3 linked regions of the Yarrowia lipolytica genome follow. The protein of the gene in region 2 purifies or fractionates together with the protein of the main gene of each other region. This does not show direct contact. Links are inferred from orthologs where the notes say so. Each region holds a gene or a part of one and is shown on either strand. Other genes may lie near its edges.

Region 1 (4,725 bases), on a different chromosome or scaffold from region 2:
GTTTTCATCAATCAGTCTCTTCCTTCCGATTTTGACTGTCTCTGTAAAGACAGGGTTCTTAACGGACCGTTTGTTTACAATGACAGAGGGGTGTTCATTGGCAACAGGTTTCTGGATTTTACCGAGTCTCCGGAGACTCCCAGCACCTCTTCTCTGCCTAAAAAATCTCACGTTTCCAGCTTTCAGGATGCTGTCATCTATGACAAACACATGATGAGGGTGCGAGGAAAGATAATCACTGAGAAATGCACGCCAGAAGTCATGACAGCGGTTTTCAGCAACAATGATGGAGAATTGATCATAAATATGAAAGATCTGAGCGCCTCGGAGACTCCTCTTCCCGCTTTCGGATGTCATTTGCCCGGAAAGATGTCCTTCAAGTTACAGGTTGTGGGAAAGACAGCTATTGTGGCTTTTGTAGGGGGCGAAGCGCGATATTCGAGTATCGTGAGCCCTAAAAAAGCCACGGTCCAAGCTGAGAGAGGTTGTTTATTGTTGAGAGCTCCAGCCGGGCTCTTGTTTTACGATGGACATGTGTTTGATGTGATCATCGACAGTCATTGGAGACCAATTGTGCAAAGCTCAAAGTCCACAGAAGTGCTTCCAAAGGAGTGGGATCTAAGTAGGCATCATAGGGTGGAACAAGACAGTAGGTATCGCCACTATGCCTTGATTTATAATCACAACGGTTTGGTTACTGCCCTCGTCGACTTGAAGACTCACAGACTGAAACAGTTGACCGACGTCTCGGACATTGCGCGGGAACACACTTCCCCGATAGATGTTTATCTCACGGTTGTGGGCTTATCCAACGGTTCTGTTGCTGTGTGGAGGTATACAAAGCAGTACTTGGAGAACAAGTATCGACAGCAGCATGGAGTTGATATGATACCTGAAGAGGCGAACAGTTTGATTCAAGGAATATAGAAAAATTGTCACCAGTTGTCGTAGTAGATGTCCACAATGGTTTTTTAGTATATGTACATACAGTATGTACTGTAGTCTGTATATACTGAAGTACACTACACAGTGAGTTCCTTCACCCTAGTTATACAGAGCGAAGTATGACACTTACTTTTAACAAGTCAAGCTTCGGCTGAAAAATTATGTTATTATAAAATAAAATAAAATAAAAAATAGGTGAGTGGTGCAAGCCATTAGAGAAAGTTGTTGACTAAGATCGCAAATGTATGCTTCCACTAGTACTAGTACAAGTACATTGTAATTGTAAAAGCACAGGCTCCTGGCTTTCCTTCTCTGTCAAAAGATCATGAGACTGTTCATCTTTTCCTCTTCTGAATACTCATCATGATCAGCCTGTTTTTAAGGACCCACTAGGGGTGGGAGATCACCGACCTTGTGATATGCCACTTTTGCAAACCAAATGAAGCATGTGAATGACACGAGTTCCTCTCATTAAATGTCGATTTCATCCCATCTCTTACTTGTTCATACAGGTACTTTTACTTGGTCGTCTTGTACTGTACTTGGTGTACTTGTGCATACTGTACTTGGTGTACTTGTGCATACTGTACTTGGCCCTGCCTGAATCTGCCTACAAGCACTAAGGCACCATCGTCTAACGACCAAGAGTTGGACAAAGAAGCATTATTAATCAAAATCCCAAACAACCAAAATATTACAAACCACGCAAATATCCCGCTCCACCAATTTCACGCAACCACCACGTTTACTCGCAATTCTACTCCCCAACCGCCAGTCTTCCAACCGGTTCTATGTTGCCACAGTAACAAATAAAGTTCACTGATATGATCTAAACCAAGTGAGAAACACTGGCTTCAATGAGTCATTCATACACTATAGAACCTTCAAAATACCTCCCTCGGACTCATATTTCACTGTATTATCGATTCCCGCTTTCTCTCAACGAATTGCTCCCAAACCCCCCTTTTTTCCTGTTGCTCAGTTGTATCGTGTCACACTTGCACATCACGTGACCGTGCAGGTTGAAACTCAACCTTAAAAATTATTTCTGCATCATATCTAAGGTGCTGGGGTCCTACGACCTCATCCCCCACTACACGAAATTTATATTATCTGAACATGAACAAAACACCGTTGCATTCCGATGTGGTCAAGCCCAAGGGTCCCCCCTCGGGACCCAAGCCGCAGTACCACAAAAAGAAGACCCCCAACAACACGGGACTCGGAAAGACTCTGATGAACCGAAAGGCCAAGGAAGGACGAGTCTACGTGACCGATTCTGGAGAGACCCGATACACAACCGAGGAGAACAAGGAGGCCGGGTGGGTCAAGCTGCGATCCGTCACCCAAGAGAAGGCTCTGGACGAGTTTCTGGCCACCGCCGAGCTGGCTGACACTGATTTCACCGCTGAGCGACGAGCCCACACCACCATTATCAACACCCATGACAACTCCAACCCTTACCTTTTGACCAAGGCTGAGGCCGAGAAGCTGCGTGAGAAGCAGCTGGAGAACGCCGGCAAGCTGACTGTTCCCCGACGACCTGTTTGGACTGAAGATACCACCTCCACCCAGCTCGATCGAGAGGAGAAGGAGGCGTTTCTGCGATGGCGACGAAGTCTGGCGGAGCTGCAGGAGAACCAGGATCTGCTTCTGACGCCATTCGAGCGAAACATTGAGGTGTGGCGCCAGCTGTGGCGAGTGTGCGAGCGATCCGATCTGGTTGTGCAGATTGTCGATGGGCGAAACCCTCTGCAGTTCCGATCCGAGGATCTGGAGTTGTATGTCAAGGAGATTGACCCCCGTAAGCGAAACCTGCTGCTGGTTAACAAGGCTGACCTGATGACCGAGGAGCAGCGACAGATCTGGGCCGACTATTTCAAGAAACACGGAATTCGATACGCCTTCTTCTCTGCTGCCAAGGCCAAGGAGGAGCTGGAGGCTCTGGAGGCCCGAGAAGAGGCTCAGGCTACCAAGAAGCCCGCCAAGAAGCCCGTCAAGAATGACGATTCCGACGACGAGGTGTCGGCTCTCGAGCGAGAACTTGCACAGTTTGTCCCTAAGGAGGAGTCTGAGGATGAGGATGAGGAGGAAGACGAAGAAGACGAGGAAGACGACGTTGAGCCTTCTGTCACCGAGATCCAGGAGGCCGTTCCTGCTAACGCCCATGAGGAGGCCAAGGCTACCGACGAGTCCAAGCCTGACACAGAGAACATGCACTATTCCGTCATGGCCACCCCCACATCTATCCTGTCTGTGGACCAGCTCGAGCAGCTGTTCCTCGCCGAGGCTCCTGCTCCCATGCAGCCCGCTCCCGCTGGCCAGGAACCCCGCCTGAACATTGGTCTGGTCGGTTACCCTAACGTTGGTAAGTCTTCTACCATCAACGCCCTGGTGGGCTCCAACAAGGTGTCTGTTTCTGCCACCCCTGGAAAGACCAAGCACTTCCAAACTATCCTGCTGTCACCCAAGGTGATGCTGTGTGATTGTCCCGGTCTGGTGTTCCCCAACTTCGGTAACACCAACGGAGAACTGGTGTGTAACGGTGTGCTTCCCATCGACCAGCTGCGTGAGTTCACCGGTCCCGCGACCCTCGTGTCTCGACGAGTGCCCAAGTACTTCCTCGAGTCCGTCTACGGTATCAAGATCTACACTCGTCCGGTCGATGAGGGCGGTCTCGGATATCCCACAGCCACAGAATTCCTTGTGGCCTACGCCAAGGCACGAGGATACATGCGTGGAGCCTCTCAGGGTAATCCCGACGAGTCGCGAGCTGCTCGATACGTGCTCAAGGACTACGTTAACGGAAAGCTGCTCTACTGTCATCCTCCTCCCGACTACAGAGAGGATCTGGATGACGAAGATGCCGGTATTCTCTTCAACAAGGGTCTGTACACCCTCAACCAGCTGCCTCCCTCGCGTCAGAAGCAGCTGCTTGATGCTGCTGTTCACTCTGGCATTGCTCGAGAGGATTTTGACCTTGAGCGAGACATTGACAAACTGTCTTTCTCCCAGCATGCCACTGGAGCCGGTGGTTTCGGTGGTAAAGGATTTTCTTCTCTCGGCGAGCATCTGGACGCTGACTACTTTGGAAAGAACTCATCAGGAGGCAACATGAGCACCCCCTTCCACCAGCGAGGTGCTGCTCAGGGCACCAAGAAGCATTTCAAGGGCAAGAAGGTCAAGGCCCGAAACGCCCGGTCCACCAACGACAACTACGGCGGAACCTACGGCGATATTATTTAAGCGGATGACGGCACGACTAGGGAAATGACTTGGGAAGACGATGCATTATAGATAATTATGATACGATAGTGATATGACAGTAATACAGGTGGGTTGCATTACATTTTTGGATATTGTATTACATTCGATGATAAGATGTGTGACTTCATCAGCAGCTTCAAACACGTAGTGTATAGAACATCTATAGACATTCAATCGACAGATATGTATAAAGAGTCACACTCGATATCAAATGGTCTATTCAATCAATTGATCTATATACAACTTTACTTGTGCACCGCAAAATCAATTGTTTAAGCCCAGATCCTATCAGCAGGTTTGCTGGGCGGGGTGAGAGCGTTCGCTAAGTTCATGCAGTCTTGGCTTCCTCCTTGGTCATTCGTCCTCCGAAAATGGTCGATCCAATTCTCACATTGGTGGATCCCTGCTTGATGGCTTCCTCAAAGTCAGAAGACATGCCCATGGACAGCTCCAGACCTGTGATATCAAAAGCCTGCTCAATAGAGTCTCTGATCTGTACCAGCGTGGCAAAGT
Region 2 (3,967 bases):
CCATACACGTTCTTTGCCAGCTGAATCGCAAAGGTGCCGATACCTCCGGAGCCCTTGGAGATGAAGATGGTTTGGTCCCTTTGCAGATTGCCAGCTTCAAACGCTTGCATGGAGGTCAGACCTACCAAGGGGATGCCTGCAGCATCTTGGAGAGAAATGTTTGATGGGGCTCTGGCCACGAGTGAGGACTTGACGCTCACAAACTCGGCCATGGTGCCGTCCTGACGCTCGCCAATCCGGCTGTAGACTCTATCGCCTGCCTTGAACTCATCCACCCCAAGTCCCACCTCCTCCACCACCCCAGATACATCGTAGCCAAAGATATGAGGGTGTTTGTCAGGTGCCAACATCTTCAGAAAGCCACGGTTTCTCATGCCATCAATGGGATTGAGCGACGCAGCAGCCACCCGGATCAGAACATGATCGTCGGCAATCAGAGTCGTCTTGGGATGGTCCTCGGAGTACTGGATCTTGTCCGGGCCTCCATACCCTGTGGTGTAAGCTGCTTTCATGGTGTATTGAAAGCGATCGATCAAGGCCCCTGTGACATGTCCGTGTGCGTGTTTATATATCCATGTTTGAGTACTTGGACCGGCCTCTCCTTGTCCATTGTTATTACATGCTATAGATGACACTAGCCGCACTCTACTGTGAGCACACGAGCAAAGCGACCAAGAAGCGGTAGTACAAGTCATGGAAGCGCAGGAGGATGCTACAATCACAACATGGATATTGTGTTTGTGTTAAATTGCTTCTACAGATTGTCTGGGTCACTGACAGCTGGTTCATTACTTCCAGTATGGCCCAAGATGAACAACTATACACATCCACCCCACATTTGTCACCAGTTAGTAACGCACTAGTGAGACGCATAGATTTGCCACCGAACATGTCACTGCGAGATCCTGTCAGAGGGGAAAGCGCGTATCCCACCCACATGTCATTTGAACTACACCCACAGAAGCAAATTAGGGCATGTATTCCCCACACCTCACGGTATGTACACTCGCAACCACTAACTCATGATACTTGCATCTCAATACAACGTTAGTTGTGGAGATGGTTAACACCATGAGTGGATTCAGAAGGATCTCCTTACCTTTCAATCCAGCTTACCTCCCTTTTGATCCTTACCAGCAGTCTGCCGCTAATTTTTGCGTCCCCAAACAGCCCCCTTGGCATGGGTATCGTACTTGTCCATCTTCTGGTTCGCCAAGAGCCTGTCTCACTGAAGGGTTGACAGATTATTGGTCATCGTGAGGACGGTTGAAACACAAGTGGGTACGTACTTGTATAATCCAGCTTTTGGGTTGCTTGTCGCCCAGATCACACCCCCAATTCAGAGTGTGTAAACCAAACAAGTTTATGATATACTCTGGTCACATTGAACTCATAAAGTGTTCCTTTTCACAGGCGTGACAAAGACTTCCACAAGAAAACATGGCTCAAAGACACAAGCACAAGTGCAAGTAAACGATGTTTCATGTCATATATACATGCAGCACTTGTAATGCTCATACAAATACAATACCACTCAAGATCTATCTCTCCTCTCCACACAGTCCCTCGCCTAAACGATGCATTCATGAGTCAGCTTTGTCAACACGACGATCTTGTATTTCTCAAGAATTTCTCCTATTTTACTACTTAAAGTAAATGATACTGCTCAAAACAGCGCAAAAATACCGTTCCAACAATTCAATTGATTTTATCCAATTTATCGCAAGTTTCCACAAATGTCCCACACTTTCACGCCTCAACCGCTATCTGACATAACTGCCCGAAGCTTATATGAAAATTTCCTGAACCTAATAAAAATCTACAGCATCTTTCTCTACACACACACAACTAACCAGACATAGACACACAAACACCATGTCCGTGTCAGCTTTCAAGGCCACCGTGCTGTGCCACAACTGTGGTACCCCGCTTGATGGTACCCTCACCAATGGAACCCCCATTTGCAACCAGTGTATCGAAATGACGACCGACATCACCAAGGAGATTCCTCGAGAGGCTTCCCTCACCTTTTGCAGAAACTGCGACAGATGGCTGCAGCCTCCCTCATCATGGACCGCTGCCCAGCCCGAGTCCCGAGAGCTGCTGGCTCTTTGTCTCAAGCGACTCAAGGGTCTGTCCAAGGTGCGTCTTGTGGACGCCTCCTTCATCTGGACCGAGCCCCACTCCCGACGTATCCGAATCAAGGTCACCGTCCAGGGCGAGGCTGTGGGCCAGACCATCATCCAGCAGAGCTTCGAGGTCGAGTACATTGTGATCGCCACACAGTGTCCCGACTGTGCCAAATCCTTCACTGCCAACACCTGGAGAGCTAGTGTGCAGATCCGACAGAAGGTGCCCCACAAGAAGACCTTCCTGTATCTGGAGCAGCTGATTCTGCGCCACAACGCACACCTGGACACCATCTCCATCCAGGAGAGCCGCGACGGTCTGGACTTCTTTTACTCGCAGCGAAACCACGCGCTCAAGATGCTCGACTTTCTGGCGTCCGTCACCCCCTGCAGACACAAGCGGTCCGAAGAGCTCATTTCAATGGATACCCATACCGCCAAGAAGCAGTACAAGTTTTCTTACTCGGTCGAAATCGCACCCATCTGTCGAGACGACCTCGTGGTTTTGCCTCCCAGCATTGCCAAGTCCAACGCCAACATTTCTCCTCTGGTTCTGTGTACCAAGGTGACCAACACCCTGCACTTTGTTGACCCCAATACCCTCCAGACTGCCGAGATTCCTGGCTCTGTTTACTGGAGAAAGCAGTTCCCTTCTCTGGCCGATGCTTCTCGTCTGCAGGAGTTTATTGTGCTCGATATTGAGCCTCTGGGACCCGTCAAGGGCAAGTTTGCCCTTGCTGACGCCACTGTGGCTCGAGTCGGCGACATGGGCCGAAACGACACCACCTACAACATCCGAACGCATCTCGGAGGTGTCCTGCATCCCGGAGACTCTGCCTATGGCTACTACATGGTCACGTCCAACTTCAACAATGCCTACTGGGATGAGCTGGACAAGGATAATCTGCCCGACGTGATTCTAGTCAAGAAGCACTACCCTGGCCGACGAAAGAAGCGAAACCGACACTGGAAGCTTAAGCGAATGGCACTTGAACACAACCTAGAGGACGACCCCAAGGTCACCAAAACCGATCTGGACAAGGCTGAGCAGGACTACGAGCAGTTCCTGCAGGAGCTCGAGGAAGACACCGAGCTGCGAGGCACCGTCAACCTTTATAAGCGAACCGTTCCCCAGATGCCTGCTCTTCCCAAGACTGGTGATGAGATGGAGGCCAGCGAGGAGGAGGGCGAGGGAGTTCCTGAGATTGGTGTTGACGAGCTTCTCGACGACCTGGAGGACATGAGCCTGGGCCAGGATGAATAGATGTACCACGAGCGAACCAGTAACGACAAACAGTAACCAAAAGTCAATGGTCAATGGGGATATTTAGATGAATGCATTAATAGATTGGATGTGGAACATAAAACGAAAAGTAGAGCAATAAGGGCATAAACAGCTAGATTCCTCTTTCCCAGGTTACAAGATAGCCCTATTGAACCAGATTTCCTTATTATTTGTTTTTATTCTAATGATTCATTTTTTTATTTAATCACGTGACGTCCATAGCCGTGTTACTAGGTTCAATCACATTTATCGCCAGTTGCGGCCATATCCCTTGGTGAAAAATACGGCTTTCCCCGTCCGATCAAGCCATAGTCCAAGCAACCAGAGAGCCCTAGTTATGTATTGTAGTGGGGAGGACCATACGAGAATCCTAGGTGCTGCAATTAAACCATTTTTTTTTTGCTCTTGCCTCTTCGGCTTTCTATGTTATGTCTCCAACCTGCTTACTCAAGAACCAAGACAGCGTTTTACACACAGTTTGAGTAATGTAGGTTTTAGTGAGACTCTCACTGAAGATATAAAAGTCCGAGTACTTGTAAGAATACAGTACATC
Region 3 (2,716 bases), on a different chromosome or scaffold from region 2:
AGTTGTCACAAGCAGAAATTGTGGAAGCGCATGGTCGAGTTGACCGTCAATCAGTTAATTGCCGAGCTTCCATATTATATAATAGTTTTTTTTTTTTTTTTTTTTTTTTTCATCGTCGATCTGAACAAGAGGGATTCGATTCATTGTATCATTATGTAGGTCCTTCTTCCCGCATTGTAGTTGAGAAGGATCTGATGGCGGGTTTGGATGCTCGTCTTGTCTAAACATTTGATCAAAAAGACGATCGTATCAGCCCGAGTAGGAGTGCGATATGACTCCAACATACCCATTGAGACACCATTTATGAATGGTCACGGCAGAGATCGAGGCAGAGATCGAGGCAAGTGACCAGTAGGGCTCCCGTTGCGAATACCCCAGAGCTGCGAAACCAGACAGAAATGGCGTCAATGAGGTCCATCGAACTCATACATGCAATTCATTTACTCAGTATACATAGCGTTATCTGAGCTACTGGAGATTGGCTACTCAACTATCGCTCCATTGATGTTACCAGGGACAGACACACCCTCCAAGGGCCCTGGATCAACTACAGAGATGTTGGCACGACTCTGGTGATTTGTGCTGCCCACTCTGAACAGCTCTTTCTCACAATGGGTTCACAATGGGCCTCCGTGCAATGGAGTATGTGAGATTGTAGTAGCCGCTGGTACTTGTTCCATCCAAGGGGCTTATGGCCAATGTACGAATCTACCGAGGCAAGAGTAAACCAAACTAGTAATCTATCGGTCATTGCCAAACTCGTTTTTTTCTCACCCCTGCCATCTCTAGTGGTGTCAGAGCAATCCGATCTCGTCTGTTGACTCTGACCAGAATGGGACCATGAACAGAACAAGACCGCAGACTTCTCGTAATACTTGTTGGAGTCGCAATAACGGTCATCCAATCAGACAACAATCTCTTGATCCCTTTCGTGACTACGATACTCAGGTGGACCAGAATCTGGCTGAGAAGCTCGTGGGGGGTTTGCGAGGAAATCTCCAATGATCAACATAGTAAAAACAATCAAGACCATCTATACAGAGGTAAAAGATGTAATAGATCAATGAAAAGAGGATGAATAATTCAAACACCACAAACTTGTATAGTTCGTACTTGTATCGTATTCGTACTTGTGGTATTGAGCCTGGTGCCTTGTGTCTGGTGCGTGTAAAAAGGACGTTCCAATGGACGCCATAAAACAGTGTCGAAACGAAGAATGGACAACAAAGTAAAGTCGTTATTGAGAACAAAATGCACTTTTCTGAAACTCCCTATCTTTTATATTCATCTCATTGAACCCGGTTAACCAGGCGTGTACTCGTACTTGTACTTGTAGTGCTCATCCCAGCTCAACCAGTGTCCTTATTGAAAAACTGAAACCGCAGGTGCACACATAATGGCCCAAACCGTCATATACCGTCCCTCAAGTCGTCCAATTATTCAAATTGGCTATTTTCTCGATTTTCTCAATTTTGTCAAAAAAATCCATTTTCCAAAAAATATTTTAACATTTTCCAAAAAAATCTATTTTATTTAAACATTTTCCATTTTATTAAACTCCAAACTCTAAGTAGAAAAAATCTGTAAACGTGCATACGGAAATATCGACACTCTCGCACCACACCGCAAGCGACTCTAGTGACACAAAAAGCAAGAAACAACCATGGGAAGACCATCGCGAATGATGTACAAGACGAAACGTCGAACCCGAGATCTGGACCAGATTCTGCGGGACGACATGAACACGTCGCAGTCGATCAAGGCTCTGCACAACCAGGAGTACGACGAGGAGAAGCCCGGACTGGCGCAGTTCTACTGTATTCCGTGCGCTCGGTATTTCGAAACCGAGTTTGCCAAACAGACACACATCCGGGGCAAGGTGCACAAACGACGGCTCAAGGAGATCCGCGAGGTGCCATACACCCAGGAGGAGGCCAATATGGCTGCTGGAAACAATGTGGCGCGATACCTGGCTCGAAATGATGTTGATAAGAAGCGTCTGGATGAGGAGGAGGTGACCACCATGTTGACAGATCGTGGCAGTCTTGAGGAGGTGGAGCAGGCCAAGGCGGCAAGCAGTTTTGCTCGTGAGCAGGAGGCGTTGCGAATCGCCCGAGAAAAGGAGGCCGAGGAGGAGGACAAAGGGGTGATTCCCGAGACCAAGGATGAGGATATGGCTTAGGAGGCTTAGAAAATCACAGGAATCTGAGCCTGCGAGGATTTGTGATGTTCGTTGGATGCTAGTCATTCGAAACAACTCAGTCATTCAGCCATTTTTCACGGCATTCACTAATCATTCATTCACAAATTACTCAATTCCATCTCTCTGGACCGAGGGATGTAGCATGGGACTTAGAAATCACTCACTGCTGGATCAAATGGATTATGACAATAGCATTATTAACAGAAATGGATAGGCCATGATAGACAATATATTATTGATTACGATGAGCCTCGGACAGAGTGCTATTGGCAGCAGATGGACACCAGATAGTGAGTTTTGTAACGATAGCGAACTCACAGAAAGCCGAATACCTATAGGTGGTTTCTCAGATGGTGGTAATCAGGACCTGAAGAGCCCATTCCAACTTCATTCATCATTCTGAGTGCTCTGTAGCACATCTACCGTGCAAAGTTGTGTATGTTGAGCGTTTTTTTCCATGTGTCTATAACTTTTGCTAGAGACATTCGAGAAAGATGACGAGTTCTGGATATT

The links.
Region 1: the proteins of YALI1_F11493g (region 2) and YALI1_C30287g purify together in Saccharomyces cerevisiae (affinity purification with western blotting; 18 studies listed by BioGRID, with this or other methods). This does not show direct contact. The link is inferred for Yarrowia lipolytica from reciprocal best matches to the Saccharomyces cerevisiae genes NMD3 and LSG1.
Region 3: the proteins of YALI1_F11493g (region 2) and YALI1_D16206g purify together in Saccharomyces cerevisiae (affinity purification with mass spectrometry; 7 studies listed by BioGRID, with this or other methods). This does not show direct contact. The link is inferred for Yarrowia lipolytica from reciprocal best matches to the Saccharomyces cerevisiae genes NMD3 and BUD20.

What each region holds. Positions count from the first base shown.
Region 1 is NC_090772.1:3,026,097-3,030,821, reverse strand, and holds YALI1_C30287g (uncharacterized protein), read left to right. Parts: upstream 1-2,064; coding exon 2,065-4,191; downstream 4,192-4,725. Other genes in the region: YALI1_C30310g (uncharacterized protein), read left to right, coding at 1-927; YALI1_C30255g (uncharacterized protein), read right to left, coding at 4,541-4,725. UniProt on the Saccharomyces cerevisiae protein: GTPase required for the nuclear export of the 60S ribosomal subunit. Acts by mediating the release of NMD3 from the 60S ribosomal subunit after export into the cytoplasm.
Region 2 is NC_090775.1:1,147,450-1,151,416, forward strand, and holds YALI1_F11493g (60S ribosomal export protein NMD3), read left to right. Parts: upstream 1-1,875; coding exon 1,876-3,393; downstream 3,394-3,967. Other genes in the region: YALI1_F11481g (uncharacterized protein), read right to left, coding at 1-695. UniProt on the Saccharomyces cerevisiae protein: Acts as an adapter for the XPO1/CRM1-mediated export of the 60S ribosomal subunit. Unlikely to play a significant role in nonsense-mediated mRNA decay (NMD).
Region 3 is NC_090773.1:1,619,597-1,622,312, reverse strand, and holds YALI1_D16206g (uncharacterized protein), read left to right. Parts: upstream 1-1,663; coding exon 1,664-2,182; downstream 2,183-2,716. UniProt on the Saccharomyces cerevisiae protein: Involved in pre-60S ribosomal particles maturation by promoting the nuclear export of the 60S ribosome. Involved in positioning the proximal bud pole signal.